Linked DNA regions of Caenorhabditis elegans. The protein of the gene in region 1 binds, or shares a complex with, the protein of each later gene. Each region holds a gene or a part of one and is shown in the gene's direction. Other genes may lie near its edges.

What was found. The genes of interacting proteins can lie anywhere in the genome.
Region 2: csn-4 (region 1) and csn-6 share a complex: the UniProt entries of both Caenorhabditis elegans proteins name them as parts of the CSN complex.
Region 3: csn-4 (region 1) and csn-3 share a complex: the UniProt entries of both Caenorhabditis elegans proteins name them as parts of the CSN complex.

What each region holds. Positions count from the first base shown.
Region 1 is NC_003282.8:1,082,701-1,090,017, reverse strand, and holds the start of csn-4 (COP9 signalosome complex subunit 4), read left to right. Parts: upstream 1-3,004; 5' UTR 3,005-3,010; coding exon 3,011-3,090; intron 3,091-3,708; coding exon 3,709-3,794; intron 3,795-5,249; coding exon 5,250-5,410; intron 5,411-6,984; coding exon 6,985-7,282; intron 7,283-7,317. Other genes in the region: cct-8 (T-complex protein 1 subunit theta), read left to right, coding at 1-137, 731-1,084, 2,016-2,206. UniProt on the Caenorhabditis elegans protein: Component of the COP9 signalosome complex (CSN), a complex involved in various cellular and developmental processes.
Region 2 is NC_003282.8:13,299,268-13,305,475, forward strand, and holds csn-6 (COP9 signalosome complex subunit 6), read left to right. Parts: upstream 1-1,556; 5' UTR 1,557-1,562; coding exon 1,563-1,824; intron 1,825-1,876; coding exon 1,877-2,277; intron 2,278-3,289; coding exon 3,290-3,631; intron 3,632-3,669; coding exon 3,670-3,799; intron 3,800-4,102; coding exon 4,103-4,263; 3' UTR 4,264-4,434; downstream 4,435-6,208. Other genes in the region: micu-1 (Calcium uptake protein 1 homolog, mitochondrial), read left to right, coding at 1-746; kdp-1 (KASH (Klarsicht/ANC-1/Syne Homology) Domain Protein), read left to right, coding at 921-1,358; Y67H2A.7 (Peptidase M3A/M3B catalytic domain-containing protein), read left to right, coding at 4,485-4,580, 4,627-4,716, 4,772-4,858. UniProt on the Caenorhabditis elegans protein: Component of the COP9 signalosome complex (CSN), a complex involved in various cellular and developmental processes.
Region 3 is NC_003282.8:192,825-199,015, forward strand, and holds the start of csn-3 (COP9 signalosome complex subunit 3), read left to right. Parts: upstream 1-1,917; 5' UTR 1,918-1,953; coding exon 1,954-1,960; intron 1,961-2,016; coding exon 2,017-2,142; intron 2,143-4,015; coding exon 4,016-4,285; intron 4,286-4,936; coding exon 4,937-5,247; intron 5,248-6,191. Other genes in the region: intk-1 (INTaKe), read left to right, coding at 1-492, 1,070-1,240. UniProt on the Caenorhabditis elegans protein: Component of the COP9 signalosome complex (CSN), a complex involved in various cellular and developmental processes.

The sequences.
Region 1 (7,317 bases):
CCGCCTCTGCCGTACCGTCGGAGCTCAACCACAAGCAAGAATCTGTGCTCCAGCTGTTAATCTGTTGGGACACTGTGATTCTGTGGCTGTTCAAGAGATTGGAGACGAAAATGTCGTCGTTTTCGATAAGAAATCGGGTATATAATGTGGAAAAACTGAGAATTTAGGAAATTTTGACCCCCAAAACGGGAATTCTCCGATTTTTTGTAATTTTTAGCTCTGGAAACCTTTTAAAAAAACGATTTGGCGAGTTTTGACTCAAACAAGTATGATTTTTACAATGTTAGACCAAAAAATTCGGAATTTTCGACGGTTTTCAGTCGAAAATTGTGATTTTCGTATAAAACTGCGGAATTTGATGAGCTTAGACCAAAATTTCTACCGTTTTTACCTGAAAATTGTCACTTTTTAATGAATTTTTATTTCAAAAACGGCCTGTTTTTGAAGATTTGGACTCCCACGAGGTGTTTTTCACCGATAATTTGCCATTTTCTGTGAATTTTCACTTGAAAACTGAAATTTCAGCTGAAAATTCCGGTTTTTTACTTAAAAATTTAGATTTTTGAAAATTTTGCAAATAAAACCTCAAAATTTGAGCTGTAAATTCCCAATATTTTGGCCAAAAATTTACCATTTCAGCTGAAAATGTTAAAATTATCACTGAAAAAGCCAATTTTTAGCCAAAAATTCAAATTTTCAGCTTCAAATCTCAATTTTCTCAAATTTTCAGAAACCGGAAAAGTCGCCACAATCATAATCCGTGGATCCTCTCAATCTCGTATTGATGACGTCGAAAGAGCTGTCGATGATGCTGTAAACACCTATAAAGCTCTTACAAAAGACGGGAAATTGCTCGCCGGAGCCGGAGCCGTCGAAATTGAGCTCGCCAAAGAAATTGAGTCGTTTGGAGCAAAAGCACCTGGTTTGGAGCAATATGCAATCAAAAAGTTCGCCCACGCACTCGAAACTCTTCCAAAAGCTATTGCTGAGAACGCTGGAATGCCAACCACTGAAACTCTGACAAAACTCTACGCGGAGCATGTTGCTGGAAAGAAAAACGCTGGAATTGATATCTGGAAGCGGGGTACGGCTTGAAAAAACCCAATGAAAGCACTGAAAATTCGAAGAAAATCGAATTTTCGGTTTAAAATCTGACAATTTAGGTCGAAAAATGACTGGAAAACTTTAATTTTTGACTGAAAATTCAAAATTTTCTGCTGAAATTTACCGAAAACATTTCTAACTGAAAATTTGAATTTTCACCGGAATTCCGCTGTTTCTGCTGAAAATCTAACAATTTCGGCTGAAATTCGCCGAAAACCTAAATTTTCCACTGTAAATCCAATAATTTAGGTCGAAAAATGGCCGAAAAACTTGAATTTTACCTGAAAATGTGCATTTTTGACTGAAAATGTGACCGGAAACATCAATTTTCTTTTGTTTTGCTTCACTTTTTTAAAGTTTTCTTCAGTTTTTGCATTAAAATAACTGATTTTTCACAGCTGGAAACCCTCACAAAACCCGGAATTTTCGCTAAAAATAGGCAATTTTCAGTCAAAAGTCAACTGAAATTCTTCCAAAAAACGTCAAAATTTCCAAAAAAAATCCCCCAATTCCAGACAACACATTCAATTTTTGCTAAAAATTCCAAAAAAAAATATCAGCAAACTGACAGAAAATTTTCAAGTTTTAATCAAAATTGGCCAATTTTCCTTTTGAAAAACCTCAACTTTTCGGTTCAAGCTCAGAAAATTAGCTGAAAATCCGAAATTTTCAACTGAAATTTCTTTAAATCAACTCAAAAATGCAAAAAATTGAATGAAAAAATCGAAAACTCAGCCAAAAATCGGCCATTTTCAACTCTGAAAAATGCCAAATTTTCAGGTAAAAATTCCTCAAAACCCCCCGAAATTTTGGCTAAAAATGTCAATTTCCAGCGCATAAAACTTGTAAATTTTCAATCAAAATTCTGAAAAATCCCGAATTTTAAACTAAAATTCCTTCTTTTTTTTCAGAAACAATGGACGCCGTCGTCAACAACATTTTCGACCTCTACGCTGGAAAACGACTGGCAATTAAGCTCGCCACAGACGCCGCCAGCACAATTCTCAAAGTTGATCAGATTATTATGTCAAAGCAGGCGACTGGAGGACCAAAACCACGTGGACCAAAGGCTCAAGATGAGGATGACGATGGAATGGCCTAATTTTTTTGTGTGCATTTTTGCTGAAAAATTGGGGAAATTTGAGTGAAAATGAGCTGAAAATCGATTTTTCAGCGAAATTTTAGACAATTTTCCCCCACTTTTTCAGATTTTCCCCTCGAATTTCCCCGCCGTTTCCCTGGGAATTGAGCTGAAATTGCAATTATCTTGAAAATTCGCTTAACAGTTTTTAGCTCATTTTCCACCATTTTTCCCCGTATTTTTTAAATTTTCCCGCTCTATATGCCTTCTCCGTATGATTTTTTGCAATTTCCCCGTTTTTATTGATTTTCGCTGGAAAATGAGCTGAAAATTCGATTTTTGCTTAAAAATTAATTTTTTTTTTTTAACGCGAAAATTCAGTTCCAAATTTACTCGATTTTGGTCAAATTTAGCTAAAAATTTGCATTTTTCAGCCAAAATTTTCCAGTTTTTGCCAGAAAATGGGCTTAAAATTGTCATTTTCTTCTGAAAAATCGAACTTTTGCCCCATTTTCAGCCGAATTTCAGCCTTTTTCCTCCAATTCTCCATAATTTTTAATGCTATCCCCCAACCCGTTCTGAATCTGAAAATCACAGTTTATGATCTTAAAATTGCGCCTTAAATTCTATAATTTTCAGCTTTTCCCCCTCGAAATTTTGTTTTTTTTTCTCGTTTTTTGCTTCACGTTGTGTTTGTTATAAAATTCTCCAAAAAAATCACAAAAAATTAGAAATTTTAAAGAAAAAATAGTCGAATTTCCTATATTTTTATCTGAAAATTCCCCCCAAAATTTTGTTGTAAAATTTCCACAATTTCAGCTGAAAATGAGCGGCGAAATTGAACGTTCACAGGAGGTGGCGGTCATTTTTGCACAGGATACCGATCACAAGGCTCAATATGAAGCGTAATATTTTTGGATTTTTGAGAAAATTTGGAGCTAAAAATGTGAAAATCTGGAAATTTTTAGCAAAAAATCCCAAATTTTTGTATTTTTCATTGGAAAATCTGAATTTTGTAAATTTTCAGCTGAAAAAATATGAAAAAAAAAAAACGATTTTAGCTATGTAGAAATTTTGAAAAAAAAACGAATTTTCACGCAAAAACATTTCCTAATTTAAAAAATTAGTAAAATTCGCGAAAAATTGAAATTTTTATCTTTTTTTTCCAGAAAATCTGAAATTTTCAAATTTTTATACTTAAAATCTGAAAAATTCTATTTAAAAACTCAAGTTTTCATTTATTTTCTACGAATTTTGAAATGAAAAATTCTTACAAATCCCGCACTTTTTTCGTTCAAAAATTGGAAAAAAACTAATTATTAGCTAAAAAATTTCCAATTTTTGTATCAAAAAACTCGAAAATTCTCAAATTAAAAAAATTTTTTAATTTTTTTGCTGAAAATCACGCTAAAAATTTCAGCTTTTTCACGTAAAATGTGATTTTCTGAAATTTCATGTAATTTTTTAGCTAAAAAGCCGAAATTTTCTCGATTTTCAGACAAAAAATTCCCCGATTTTTGCAGATTGGCGAAGCTTTGCAACAAATATTTGCCACAAAATGCGATGGGACGAGTCGATACGGCGGAAATTATTAAAATCATTGATACAGGTTGGAACACGACGAAAATTTCGGATTTTTCAGTGGGAATCTGGCTAAAAATTACGAAAAATGATGAGTTTTGGTGAAAAAATGGACGAAAATCGCTCAAAATTGGACAATTTGGTTGGAATCTGGCTGAAAATCGATAAATCTCGATAAAAATTGACGGAAAACGAGAACATTTTCGGAATTCCTGTTGAAATTTAGCTGGAAATAAATAAATTACATTGAAAAAAATTTTTTTTTGAATTTTTGGAGCTGAAAATTGGCAGAAAATCCGATTTTTTCAGGAAAAATCTTTAAAAATTTACATTTTTTTTTACAAAATGGACTCAAAATTAGCTTAAATCGCTCAAAAAAGGCTGAAAATTCCATATTTTAAGTGAAATATTTTAAGTGAAAAATATGGAATTTTCAGCCTTTTTCGAGCGATTTAAGCTAATTTTGAGTCCATTTTGTAAAAAAAAATGTAAATTTTTAAAGATTTTTCCTGAAAAAATCGGATTTTCTGCCAATATTCAGCTCCAAATCCAAAAAAAAAAATTTTTCAATGTAATTTATGAATTTTCACAAAAATCCAATTTTTCGTTCGTTTTCTGCAGTTTTGTTTTTTTTTTTTGAAAAGTTAAAAATTTCCTTTAAAAAACGCGAAATTTCCAATTTTTCACGGTAAATGTGATTTTCAGCCAGTAGTTTTCAACCGTTTTTTCGCGGGAAAAATTGAATTTCTAAAGATTTTCCTCGAACAATTCGATTTTTCCGGTATAAAAAGCGACCTTTTACCGATTTTTCACAGAAAATTCAGATTTTGAGCCTTTTTCACCCTCAGAAGCCAAAAAAAACCCCCAAAAATTGGATTTTTCTTGAAAAATTTGAATTAAGAAACTCAAATTTTCAAACCGTTTTTCCACGGAAAAAGTGCGTTTTTCAACGATTTTTCTCGAAAATTCTCAATGTTCTGCGTTTTTAAGCGATTTTCAGCTGATTTTTCACGAAAAAATCGAGTTTTCAGGGATTTTGATATATTTTTCTTGAAAAAATCGGATTTTCAGCTGTTTTTTCCACGGAAAAAGTGATTATTTAACTTTTTTTCCAGAATAATTGGATTTTCAGCCAATTTTAGGCTTAAAATAGGGCCTTTTAACGAAAAATGTGACTTTTAGGACATTTTTCAATTTTTCGCATAAAATTAAATAAAAATGGAATTTTTTTACCATTTTTTTTTCAAATTTTCAGGTTCAAAATAAAGCTTTAAAAAAGTGGAAATTTCTAGTTTTTAGGCTTAAAATAGGCTTCTTAGACGAAGATTTTCAAGCTTTTCGTTAAAAAAAACAGGAAAAAATTAATATTTGTATAAAAAAATTGAATTATCAGCTAAAAATTACAATTTTTGCACTGTTTCAGTGCAAAATTTGTATTTCTTTTAGAATTTTTAGCAGCCTATAACCCCAAAAATGTTTGCAGTAATCGCATTGGAGACTGGAAGTATGGTTGTATCACGTCAATTTGTATCACTTATCACTGAAAGATTGGATAATCAACATTTGGAATCAGAATGTGTTAAGGCTATTTCAGAAGGAATTTTGGCGATTATTAAGACTCGAACCATCTCTTATGAGGATCAGGTACTTGGAAATGCACTGCAACTTTTTCCTCACGAGGGACGAGGAACAGTGGTTTCTAGGCCATGGCCGAGGGGCCGACAAGTTTCAGCGGCCATTTATCTTGCTTTGTTTTCCGCCTGTTTTCTTTCGTTTTTCACAGCTTTTTCCCGTTTTTTCTTATTAAAACTGATAAATAAATATTTTTTGCAGATGATAAAACAATTTCGAAGTAAAAAAATTATGTATTCAGTGGGCAAGCAGCGGTGAAAGTGGGCATTGTAATATGATGGATTACGGGAATACAAAACCTAAATTTTTTCTGAAACATGATACATATGATGCTTAGATGCTGAAGCTACCTGATTTTCATATCAAGACCGCTGAAAAAGTTTTGAGGTTTCCAAAATTCAACTTTTTGTGCGAAAATCTCGACTTTTTCACCAAAAAAGTTGAATTGTGGAAATCTCAAAACTTTTTCAGCGGTCTCGTTATGAAAATCAGGTAATTTCAGCATCTAAGCATCATATGTATCATGTTTCAGAAAAAGGTTAGGTTTTGTATTCCCGTAATCCATCATATTGCATTGACCACTTTCACCGCTGCTTGCCCACTGAATACATAATTTTTTTACTTGGAAATTGTTTTAGCATCTGCAAAAAATATTGATTTATCAGTTTTAATAAGAAAAAATGGGACAAAGCTGTGAAAAACAAAAGAAAACAGGCGGAAAACAAAGCAAGATAAATGGCCGCTGAAACTTGTCGGCCCCTCGGCCTTGGCCTAGAAACCACTTTTCCTCGTCCCTCGTGAGGACAAAGTTGCAGTGAAATGGAGCATTTTGCAGAAAAAATTGAAAAATTTGAAGAAAAACGAACGATTTTATGGGATTCTGCGGAAAATTTGAAGATATTTGAAAAAAAAAATTCGGAATTTTTGGAGTTTTTTAGCAGAAATTCAAAAAAATTTCGATTTAAAATTCAGGATTTTATGTGATTTTTCGGAAAAATTTTCAATCGTTTTTTTTTTCCGATATTTTGGGCTTTAGGCTCAGGCTCAGGCTTAACCCCTTATTTATCGAGAAAAACGTTATAAAATTGAAGAAAAATTGAAGAAAAAGGGCAAAATTCTGGAAAATATCGAAACTCTTTTCAGTTTAAAAATAAAAAATTATTTCACCTAGAAAAATCTAGAAAAATTGAGTTTTCAATGAAAAATTGTGAAAAATGGAGGGAAAAAAGTAGAATTTGGCGTAAAATTCTAAAAGAAATACAAATTTTGCACTGAAAAAGTGCAAAAATTGTAATTTTTAGCTGATAATTCAATTTTTTTATACAAATATTAATTTTTTCCTGTTTTTTTTTAACGAAAAGCTTGAAAATTTTCGTCTAAGAAGCCTATTTTAAGCCTAAAAACTAGAAATTTCCACTTTTTTAAAGCTTTTTATTTTGAAACTGAAAATTTGAAAAAAAAAAGGCAAAAATTCCATTTTTATTTAATTTTATGCGAAAAATTGAAAAAAATTGGAAAAATGTCCTAAAAGTCACACATTTTTCGTTAAAAGACCCTTTTTTAAGCCTAAAATCCCAATTTTTCAGGTCTGTATCCTCCGCCTCATGCTTGCAAGCCTCTACGAAAAAGAAGGCCGTATCAAGGACGCGGCCCAGGCCCTAATCGCAATAAATTCCGACACAAGCCCGAAATTCAACGGCCCACAAGCGGCGAAAGAAGGCGCCAAGGCCCAGCTGTGCATTCGAATTACGAAGCTTCTTCTCGACTGTTCTGAAATTGATGAAGCCGAGCAATATGTGAATCGGACGAGTATTCTTATGGTTGACCTCGGCGCAAATCCAGATATTCAGATTGAGCATAAAGCTTTGCAGGCTCGAGTTTCAGGTACTTCTACGGCCTGGAAATTTTAAACTTTAAAA
Region 2 (6,208 bases), about 12 Mb from region 1:
GGAACGGTGCGCTGGATAAAGAAGAATTCACAAAAGTTCAACAGCTTATTATGTCCCAAACAACTGTAGGACAGCGTCATCGAGATCATATAACGCCAAACCAGTCGTTCCGTGTCGAGACAAACTCCGCTCTCGAAACATATTTCTTTGGAAAAGACGGAAAGGGGAGCTTGTCGTCTGAAAAATTTATCGAGTTTCAAGAGCGTCTACAACACGACATTTTAAAGATGGAATTTGAACGGAGAGATGCACTGGATAACCCGGATGGACTTATCAACGAAGATAGTTTTGCTCAACTTCTCCTTCTTCATGCTCAAATTAATGAGAAGAAACAGAAGCATATGTTGAAGCGGGTTAAACGAAGATTTAAAGGAGAAAATTTGAAAGGAATCAGTTTTGGAGAGACGAAAGCATTTTTCGAGTTTTTGTATCACATTGACGATGTAGATATTGCTCTACACTTTCATAAAATGGCTGGAATGTCGATAGATGCGAAGCTACTTCAACGAGTTGCGGTCAAAGTGACTGGAATACCTCTATCGGATCACGTTGTGGATGTGGTGATTACTTTGTTCGATGACAATTTGGATGGAAAATTATCACATGAAGAAATGGTTGCTGTGATGAGGAGAAGAATGCGTAGAGGTTTAGAGCGACCAAGAGATACTGGACTTTTCCGTTTGTTTGATGCAGTTCTGGAATGTGGAAAACGAGCTTATCACGCCAGTCCTCTTCCATTTTATTAGTGGTGCCCATGGCCACTGTAAATACTTGTTTATAAATAAAGCTTTTCATTCTTTTTAACAAATTATATTTGTTATGTTCATAAAAAGTGTTCGTTTCACTTTTCTTATCTTAATTTCATTTTTTTATTCTTTATTTCTTTCTCCACATTTTAAAACACATTTTTCAGGAAAATCATGTCGTTGGCTTTGAGAAAGACTTTGGGCGTCGCTCGCTTTTCCATGAGAACCGCCAGCTTCCAGGCTGTTCCAACCAACGCCGGAAAGACCCCACCAACCCTCGAACAATTCGATCCACTGAACCCAGGAGAGTGGCAACTCGGAGCCGGAGGAAAGATCCTTCCACGTCTGCCAGAGGGAACCAAATGCGGAAACCTTGTCATGGGAAAGTACGGACTCTACGATCCAATCCTCAAGAAAAGAGTTGATACCTACGCCAATGCTCTTCTCGAAGGAAAGAAGTCCGAAGAGGCTGGACCATTCGATGTCGCTGTCAGCAAGATCGCCAAGGTCCTTTCCTACATCTGCTTTGTCATCGCCATCTACAACCTCATCTCGTTGGTCAACGGAACTCCACTTCCACCACTTAGCCACGTCAAGGCTCCAGGATCCTAAATAATTTCCACTCGATTGCATTATCTCTTTTTTGTAGGAAGTTTTATGTTCTGTAAAACTTATGTCAATGTGAATCAATAAAATTCCCGTTTAGCTTGTTTTTCCACCAGTGAATCCAGGAATATTTTCAAAATTTCCAAATCATTATCTGGCTTGAAACAAAAAAACCGATTTCGAAACCAAATTTCGAAATAATTTTCAGAAATGGCATTGAACGCACCAAGCGGGAGCTGTAGCTCGAAGGTGCTTTTGCATCCTTTGGTTATTATGCAAATGTCCGAACACTACTCCAGAACAAAGGTCCAACAGGGTCCTACTGTGAAAAAAGTGTTCGGAGCAATTCTCGGACGGCAGAATGGACGACAAGTCGAGGCGATCAATTCATTTGTTCTGAAAATGGAGACAGAAGAAATGGCTGAGCCGGTTACTTTTAGCACGGAGCATCTCCTTCAAAGAGCAGATCAATGTCAGTTTTACTCTGTTCTTGCTCATTTTAGTTTTTTTTCCCCAAATTTCAGATCTGGAAGTGTTTCCCGAGCTCCAAGTTATCGGTCTTTATTGTGCTGGGGAGGATGATAATCTGACTCCCGAAGAGAAACCTCTTCTCTCAAAACTCACCAATGCGGTTCGCAATTCAGAGAAAGCCGGACAAATCGACGCGACACTTTTCCTTAAACTCAACTCTATCACTGCTGGAACCACTCGTAAACTTCCACTTTTCGCGTTTGAAGCAGACGTGACTGATCAGGAGAAGCATAAGCCAATTGAATGGATTTTAGTGTCGGAAGAAAGTGAACGTGTCGGTGTTAATCATATCGCTAAGTTATCAACGAAACATGGAAAAGACGGGAAATCAGTTGGAAAGAAACACGCGGAGGCTCAAGATGCAGCAATGAGCATGCTTCAGAATCGGGTTGATGTGCGTTCGAGAAATTGGAGGCCAGAAAAAGACAAAATTTCATAATGAGACTTCTGAAAATGCTGTTTAGCGGTTCAAAAATTTTAAAATAATACCTAAAATTCGCTAAAATGCATATTTCGATCTTATCTCGCATTAATTCGTTGATTTAAGACACATTTTCAGTCGATTGACACCTAATTTTGGAAAAAATGTTTGAAAAAAGTACCTCCATTTACTAGTAATTGCGAGCTAAACGACTAAAATATGTAACAACAGCTGCTGCGACATGAAAAGTTTGCGAAATTTCAGAATTTAGACAGTTTTGGCTCTTATTTTTTTTTGAAATTTTGACATACTTAAAAAGTTTATTAATATTATTTTGAGAAATCTCGTTATGAAAATCAATACAGCAGCAAACTAAAGTGGAATAGTCGAAATAGTTTTACTGCTTTATTAGACTCACAATTGACTGAAAACACCGAATTTCATAATGAAACTTCTTGAAAACGTCTCAAAAAAAAGTTATGACGGCTCAAAAAATAGCCTAAATGTAGTTAAAATTTGAAATTTGACCGACTTGTCAAGCGGCTGGAAACTAATTTTTTGAAATCTCCATCTAATTTTGAGTATAAAATTTAAATATCTTGCGTTTTCAACTTCATTTATGTATTTTAAAGCCGATGGACGGCGATATTTTTAATTTTTTTTTTACGAAATCTCGCCGTCCATCGACTTTAAAGTACCCAAATCGAGTTAAAAACGCAAGATAATGACATTGTATGCTCAAAATTTGACGGTGCTTTCAAAAAAAAAAATTGTTTCCAGCCGCTGCAACATTGCAAGACGGTCAAATTTCAAATTTTAACTAATTTTAGGCCATTTTTTGAGCCGTCATAACTTTTTATTGAGAAATTTTCAAGAAGTTTCATTATGAAATTCGGTGTTTTCAGACAATTTTGAGTCTAATAAAGCAATAAAACAATTTCGACTACTCCGCCTTTAATTTTTTTTACAAAAAAATAATTTTCAGCTAATCGTTGCCTATCTCGAAAAAGTGCAAGACGGAACACTTCAACCGAATTTTGAAATTTTGAAGGAAGCTAACTTGCTTGCTCAAAAGCTCAAAACCATTGATCGATATGCTGCTGAGTTCACTGATAGTTTCGAAAAGGAAGAGAAAACAATGACCGTATTCTCTCTGATGCCAAGATTGACAACTCTTCTCGGAAATATGCAAAATGTGTGGAACAAGTTGTCAGCTCAAAGAGCCGATCTTCTCGCCGACGATGGATTCCATGGAAAATCGACAAGCCGTTGGGCTCATCCGGTTCGATTCAAATCACAACATCTCGGTCGTCCGCAGCAGGCAGATGTAAGTTAATGCATTTAGAATATTTCTAAATCCTTTAGGAATGTTTGTTCCAGGATGACGATTATTTTGATGATGAAGATTTGGAGAACGATATGAGTGGACCACGGAGAAAAATTCATGCTGCTGATTCTCCAGCTGGATCGAGAAGACGACGTGTTCCGCCAAGAGGTAGATTTGGAAATTCTGAATTATTATGAAGACGCAGAAAAATTCACCTTCTTGGGGAAATTTTTTGAAAGCGGATTTTTCAGAAGTTTTGACATCAGATACGAGGTTTAACATTTTTTATCAACTATTAAAATTTAATTAAAAAGCACAAAAAAAAAAGACAAAAAATACCTGAAGGAAAATTCTAAATTTACGATTTAGCCGATTCAATTGGTCGTGGAACGATTTTTTTTTCAAAAATAAGCATTTTTGTGCGTCCTCATTTCAAAATCTTCTGGAAAACATTAAAAATGTTGATTTCAGCAATGAACTTCCTCGGTCGGAATTCTGGTATGCAAGCCGCCACGGACGAAATGGAATTGTCAGGTCAAGAGGAAAATATGGGAAGCAACTATATTCCAGACGTTCCAAGACCATCTGCAACAGCACACAACGAGTCGGACGAGTCGAGTCAAGCTTCATAAATATCCTTTTTTTGTTAAAAATTCACTGTAAAAATGCCACTTTTTCTTATTTATTTCATTGTTTCTCAAATTTTTACACCACTTTACGTGTTTTTCATCCCCATTTATCTGAAATATAATGTCTGATCTCCGATTCTCGATATTAAAAAAAGGTTAAACGTTCCTTATATCAATAGAATCCAGTTTAGTTTAGACTATAGTGATTTTTTCTACAGCACTAAATGCTTCGAAGTGTGATATTACGGCATAGTCGAACGATAAGCCGGAATAGCTGGGTGGCTAGAGCATTTCGAAGCGAGAAGGTCGACAAAGAAACGGTTTTTTTTTTCAAGAAAATGGATTTTTTTAAATTTAAAACTTCAGGGATTATTTGGAAATAAAAACTTGAAAACCGCAGAAAGTTTCAATGAATTACCGGCGGCAGTTAAAAAATCAACTGATGCTCTTATTCAGGTATTTAGGAGAGCTCTGAAATCCAATTGAAATCCTGTAAAATTCAAATTTTCAGGAGCTTCTAACCCCATCGCAGAATCCCAGAACTTCTATTCAAATTGTCGATGATATTTCGAATGAGATTTGCAAATCGGCGGATCTTGTAAGCTTCGCTTCGAAAAAAGTTCCCAAATTCAGAAGAACCACAAAAAAAAACGCGATTTTTGAGGCACCACGTTTTCAATATCTAGTCGGAAACAATGTCTACGAAAGCAAGATCTACAGTTTGGAGTTCTACGAAAACGAGAGCTACGCTATCAGGATCTGGCACCATGCCAACTGCGGTTTTCACAGTTTTCTCGAAGAAAATCGAAACAACGATGCTCCGATATCACGCATCGCGCGTTGTTTATCGTTTTCCAAAAGTTTTTATTTCAAAAAAAGCTTTTCTGAACGATAAACAACGCGAGCCGTGTAATATCGGAGCATCGTTTTTTCGATTTTCTTCGAGAAAACTGTGAAAACCGCAGTTGGCATGGTGCCAGATCCTGAAAACGTAGATCTTCGTTTCGTAGATCTTATTTTCGTAGATCTTGTTTCCGACTAGATCTTGAAAACGTGGTGTCTCACAAAAGGAGAGCAAATGGAAAAACAGAAGAAAAAAAACTTCAAAAAATGCGATTTTTAAATTTTGGCGAAATTTCCAGTTTGAATTTCCTCCAAAATTAGACACCACGCCCACTTCTTCTGATTGGTCGACAAGTGGGCGGAGCGAGTCTCTGATTGGTCCTAAAACCGTAAAAAAGTGAATTTTTTGGCTTTTTTGGTCTAGAAAAATCAATCTTACAAAATACTAAAAAAAAACCAAAAAAGTCTCTGTAGTTCTTATTTTCATGGGAATTCAAACAAGAATTTTGCTTTTTTTTGTCTGAAATTCAGAAAAACCACAATTTAAAAATCTAGAAAAACCGAAAAATTCATATTTTCGGCTACTTTCTAACTGTTTGAACTTCCAACCAATCAGCGACTTCGACCACGCCCATCTCTCCTGATTGGTTCGAGAGAAGGCGGGGCGAATCGAGGCACCACCGAAAGGATAACAGGTGAAAAAGGAGAAAAACGAAAAGGAGAATTACGAAACACAAAACCACGCCCATTTTTCAGTGCGGTGCGCAAGTTTTTGCAGAAACTTCTGCGAATTTTCATTTTCAAACGAAACAACGAAGCTCCGAAATAACGTATCGCGTGTTGTTTATCGTGAATGCGTTATTTCGGAGTTTCGTTGTTTCGTTTGAAAATGAAAATTCGCAGAAGTTTCTGAAAAAACTTGCGCACCGCACGAAAAATGGGCGTGGTTTTGTGTTCTCCTTCTCGTTTTTCTCCTTTTTCACCTGTTCTCCTTTCGGTGGTGCCTCGGCGAATCACGTGATGTATAAGAGTGTCTTATTTCGGTTTGATCTACGTAGATCTACAAAAAATGCGGGAAAAGAGACGCAGAGTTCTCAACTGATTT
Region 3 (6,191 bases), 890 kb from region 1:
AAACGAAAGGATACTACAAACTCCATAACTAATTTCTTCCATCGATTCACGCGCGGAGACCGTGAGGAGAAGAAAATAGTTGAAGAGGAGGAAGAAGAGCACGTGGAGCGTCCCGAGAAGCTTATAAGCCCGGAATCCGAGGAAAAATGGTTTGAATCGAGAACTCTGGACGAGAAAGTGCTCGGACACGAAGGAGACGCAGATATGTACGAATGGGATCCAAATACAATGACAGAGACTCTTGTTCGGGAGCCTCCATCGCCTCTGGAGCCCAGTAGTATGATATTCGAGGAGAAAGGAATGCTGAAACTACTGGAAGATTTTCGAAATGGTGAGCTCCGATGGCTAGATGCTCCACAGATTTCTGCGTTGGGAAAAGTGAAAGAAGCGCATGAAGATGTGTCGAATATTCATTTACAAGTTTATGAAATTGAGTCGGCTAGGAGGAAAAAGAGAAAACAAGCGAGGAGTGTCAAGGAGAATTTTGAATTTGTAAGGAAAAATTCGGATTTCCATAAAAAAGGGATTAATTTGTGCAATTTTACGAAGAAATCGGGATTTTTGGAATGTAAAAAGCTCAATGTGATCTAGAAAATGTGTTTTTGGCAGGATTTTCCTTTTTTTTTAAATCCGATTTTCAGTCTATTTTCTAGCTAAACGACTCCGAAGATCTCTCAAAAAACTAACAAAAAATGCGACAGACGCCAGTTTTTTAATCTGAAAAAAAGCAGAAAGTCCCAAAAAACGGTCCCAGGAATCACAAAATATCTGTTTTGTGATATTTAGCGCTGCAAAAAATAAAAAAAACTCGCTGAATGCAATATTCCAATAGCTTTTTACCTTTAAAAAACTCAAATTTTCATTAAAATCATCAAAATTCTGAGAGCCTCACCCATAAATCCTTAGCCTCACCCAAAAATCATGAGAGCCTCAACCAAAAATCCTGGGCCTCAATCAAAATTCCGGAGAGCCTCACCCAAAAATCCAGAAAGCCTCAACCAAAAATCCAGAGAGCCTCAACTAAAAATCCAAAAATACTAGAATATACTAAAATTCCCCATATTTTCAGTCGGATTCGGATGATTCAGAAGAAGAACGAGAAATCGAACGATTATTCGAATCGATGAATACTCATATGATTGACATGCATTCTGCACTCGATACCGTACCATTTTACGACGCTTCTCAAAATCAACGCACTGAAAAAATCGATAACGACGAGGAGTATTTTTCGTCTTGAATCGATCATGTTTCCTGAATTTTTCACGCATTTTCTAATTTGAAAATTCTATAATTTTGACCCAAATTTCTTCGTTTCCAGCTAATATTTGCATTTTTTTAGGGCATTTCTCACAGTTTTTCTCGAAAAATCCCCGTATTGTCGATTTTTTTTTCGAAATTTTTCCGAGCAGGAAAATATTGTGAATTTCACCTGTTTTGAGGCACCACGGATTCAAGATCAGCTGGGATTTTGGATCTAAAATTTCCGAAATTGGCACCGTGCCAACGAATAAAACGCTATTTTTCTCGAAGAAAAGCGTGACAACGATGCTCCGATGTTACGCGTCGCGTGTTGTTTAGCGTATTTTCTATAAGTAATTTTCAAAAAAACAGCGTTTTATGCCTGACACGGTGCTTTTTCGGTGATATTTGAACTGAAATACCCTAAAATTTTCGTGATTCCCTCTATTTTCTAGCAAAGTTTTCTCTTTTCCCCAAATTTTACCCATTTTTCACTAATTTCTCGGTATTTTCCTGTACAAGCTCGATTTTTACTCAATTTCTATATTTTTCTCGGTTTCTTCTCTAAATTTTCTCACCAATCGCCATTCCCTGTGCAATTTTCTCTTATTTTTTCGTATATCTTCTCTTACTCGTTTCTTGTCACACATTTTCACGATAAAATGTAAATATTTTCAGATATCACAGGAAAATCCCATTCACAAAAGGATCATGACAAGTAAGTTTATTATTTAACCTGTAAATTTTCTAAAAAAATCGGAAAAGCTTTTTCAGCTTTTTTCAATAAGCTCTTCACGGGAGCCTCATCATCATCGTCTGCAGCAGCTTCTTCTGGAATGGATCTTGGTAGTATGGAGTCATTGTGTGCTGCGATCAATGAGCTTTGCAGTGAAAAACATGGTAATTTGGAGGGTTTTGTTGGAAAAAGAAGAAAATTAGTGATTTTCTCAATTTTTCAACTTGAAAATGTATTTATTCGCTGAAATTTTCGGGAAATTTGAATGATTTCATTCAAAAACCCATCGAAATTCTCGTAGAAGTTCGTGAAAAATTGATGAATATCATCTGAAAAGGGATCGAATTCCGAAAAAAAAGAGCCAAATTTTGCTGACATCTGAAATTTTTTCTTTGTCCCCAGTTTTCTTTGTCGCAGCCACTGGAATTTTACTTTTCTGAAATTATCACTCTTTAATCTAAGTTTTATTAGTTTATCTTGTGTAAATTCATTGATTGAGACAATTTTAAACCGTGAGGCATCCAATTTTTATCATTTTTGGATGTCTCTTCGCTTAAAAATTGTCTCAATCAATGAATTTACACAAGATAAATTACCAAAATGTGAATTAAAAGTGATAATTTCAGAAAAGTTGAATTACAGTCTCTGCGACAAAGAAAACTGGGCAAAATTTCTGATTTTTGCACTAATATGCCTTTTTTAATTTTGACCTCAACCAAAAAATCATGGTAGCCTCAACCAAAAATCATGGTAGCCTCAACCAAAATTCCGGAGAGCCTCACCCAAAAATCCAGAAAGCCTCAACCAAAAATCCTTAGCCTCAACCAAAAATCCTGAGCCTCAACCAAAAAATCATGGTAGCCTCAACCAAAAATCCTGAACCTCAACCAAAAATCCTGAACCTCAATCAAAAATCCTGAGCCTCAACCAAAAATCATGGTAGCCTCAACCAAAAATCCTGAGCCTCAATCAAAAATCCTTAGCCTCAACCAAAAATCCTTAGCCTCAACCAAAAATCATGGTAGCCTCAACGAAATATCCTGAGCCTCAACCAAAAATCCTGAGCCTCAACCAAAAATTCTTAGCCTCAACCAAAAATCATGGTAGCCTCAACCAAAAATCCTGAGCCTCAATCAAAAATCCTGAGCCTCAATCAAAAATCATGGTAGCCTCAACCAAAAATCCTGAGCCTCAATCAAAAATCCTTAGCCTCAACCAAAAATCATGGTAGCCTCAACGAAATATCCTGAGCCTCAACCAAAAATCCTGAGAGCCTCAACCAAAAATCCTGGTAGCCTCAACCAAAAATCCTGAGCCTCAACCAAAAATTCTTAGCCTCAACCAAAAATCATGGTAGCCTCAACCAAAAATCCTGAGTCTCAACCAAAAATCCTGAGAGTCTCAACCAAAAATCATGGTAGCCTCAACGAAATATCCTGAGCCTCAACCAAAAATCCTGAGAGCCTCAACCAAAAATCCTGAGCCTCAATCAAAAATCCTGAGCCTCAACCAAAAATCATGGTAGCCTCAACCAAAAATCCTGAGCCTCAATCAAAAATCCTTAGCCTCAACCAAAAATCCTGGTAGCCTCAACCAAAAATCCTGAGCCTCAATCAAAAATCCTGAGCCTCAATCAAAAATCATGGTAGCCTCAACCAAAAATCCTGAGCCTCAATCAAAAATCCTTAGCCTCAACCAAAAATCCTGGTAGCCTCAACCAAAAATCCTGAGCCTCAATCAAAAATCCTTAGCCTCAACCAAAAATCATGGTAGCCTCAACGAAATATCCTGATCCTCACCCAAAAATCCTAAGCCTCAACCAAAAATCCATACAAAATTGTTGAAAATTTTTTGTTTCATTATTAAATTCGGTGGTTTTGGACCAGTTGTAGTCTATTTAAGCAGAATACCCACAAACTGTAATCCCGCTTTAAAATAAATTTATTAAAAAATTTGTTTTATTTAAAAAAAAATTCAATTTAAGGATACCGTCAAGCCTATTTTTTCCAGAATTCCGCATTAATTTCCCGTATTTAGTTTCAGAGAATGTTGGTGAACTGGCCGCTGGAATTGTTCGTAAGAATAAAGAGCTTTTCGAAAAGAAATCGAACGATGTTGAAGCATTTTTGCTTCATTGTAGTCCAAATGTTGGTTCAGCTGCAATGGTTGCTGCAATTAAAGGAATGTTTGATACGTCGGCTGCAAAAAATAATGAAACTGGAACAGATCGAGCTGTTGAGCTTCTCAATCATTATGTTGATGAGAATAATTTTGTTGGAGGACATTTGAAGCTTGTACCTGAAATTAGTGAGTTTCTAGATAAAATTGAGAAGAAAAACTGGAAAATATGGATGATTTACATGGAATTTATGCGAAAAATCTAGATTTAAAGAGAAAAATGCAGCTTCACTTCGCCGAATTTTCCGTTTTTTTTTAAAGCAGAAAGTCAAAGACGTCGGATTTCAAAGGAAAATAAAAATAAAAACTTGAATTTAGAGAAAAGCTAGGCAAAAATAGAAAACTTAACTGAAAATTTCTCCTTCTTCCTATAATTCTTCCTAAATTTTATTTTTTTTTTCTCAATTTCCCTCAAAAATCTATAAATTTCAGACTGAAAATTAAAAAACTAAGAACTTCCTAATTTTTCGTCCTCAAAAAAATTCGAAAATCCGAATTTTTCCACAGAAAAAAGTTGTCTGAAAATGCATTCTTTAGTGAAAAAATGACAAATTTTAACGATTTTCTTGTAAAAAGTCACTTTTCCATAGATTTTTTTTTCACTTTTTGAATGGAGCAATTGAAAAATCTTTCAAGAAAAATTGAAAAATATTGGCAAATAAGCTCGAATTTAAAGAAAAACTAGGCAAAAATTGAAAATTTAACTGAAAATTTGATTTTTTTTTAACTTTTAAAATGTAATTTTTTCCAATTTCCCTCTAAAAAAAATTTTTTTTTCAGTTTTCCCACTGCTCCGCGACGTCGGCTTATATTGTTTGGAAAAGAAGAATAAACCAGAAATAGGACAAAGAATTATCATGAAAGCACTCGGATCAATGTTCCCAAGAAATGGCTCAAATGCTCCAAATGTGCTCACTTCTGCACACGGTGTGCTCTTTGCGTGTGCTCTTGAAACAAAGGATTATGCATCTGTTGAACCATTTATTGATCTACATGTTGATGAGATTGCAAATGAGAATTGTATTCAAGATCAGGAAAAGAGTGATAATAGAGAACGAGATTTTGGAGATGTTTTTCTTGGAAGAATGAAGGTGCATTATGGAAGAAAAAAGAAATATCTGGAAATTTGGATATTTTCAAATTTTCGTGTGAAAAAACCTTTAAAAATGGGTATTTTTTGTAGGAAAAAAAGTTAGAAACGTTATATGAAAATACATCATTTTTTGAGGTTTTTTACACGCAAATTTGGAAAAAAAATGTCTAGAAACTGATAATTGCCCCCAAAAACAATATTTTTCAATTCTTTTTGGATTAAAAACATTTTTTTAAAAACTGAAAAGTTAACGAAAATTATACATGTATAATTATATTTAAACGATTGTTTTGAATATTTACACTGGATTCTCAGTGAAAGCTTACGAAAACCAATTTTTTCCGAAAAATTCGGAAAAAAAGTGCGAAAAAACGCAAAAATAGGATATTTTCAATTTTTTTCTGTTCCAAAAAACTTTTTTCAAAAAAGCTTCCAAAACACTAAATTTTTTTAAAATTGCTTGGTTTTAAAAACATTTAAAAAGCTGAAAAGTTAACGAAAATTACAAAAATATTTTTATAAGTTAAAAAAACGCGATTTTCTGAACATTTGCATTGGGTTTTCAGTAAAATCTGAAGAAAACTATATTTTGAATATTTTTTTCCGAAAAATTCGGAAATAAGTGACAAAAAAACGCAAAAATGGGACATTTTCAATGTTTTCTGTTGCAAAAAACTTTTTTTTAAAATAAAATCTGAAATTACTAAATTTTCGAGCTCTTTGAGTTTTGAAATATTGCAAAAAAAACCTGAAAAATATGAAATGAAAATTTAAAAAATATATAAAAATTTGTTTAAAAAAAAATTTATATTAAATTTTAGTCTGGTTTGTAAATCCACATCAAAATGTTTTCTTGAATTTTTAAAAATAAAATTTGAAATTACTAAAAGTTTTCTGAAGTTTATAAATAAAAAAAACCGAAAAATATGAATAAAAAATGAA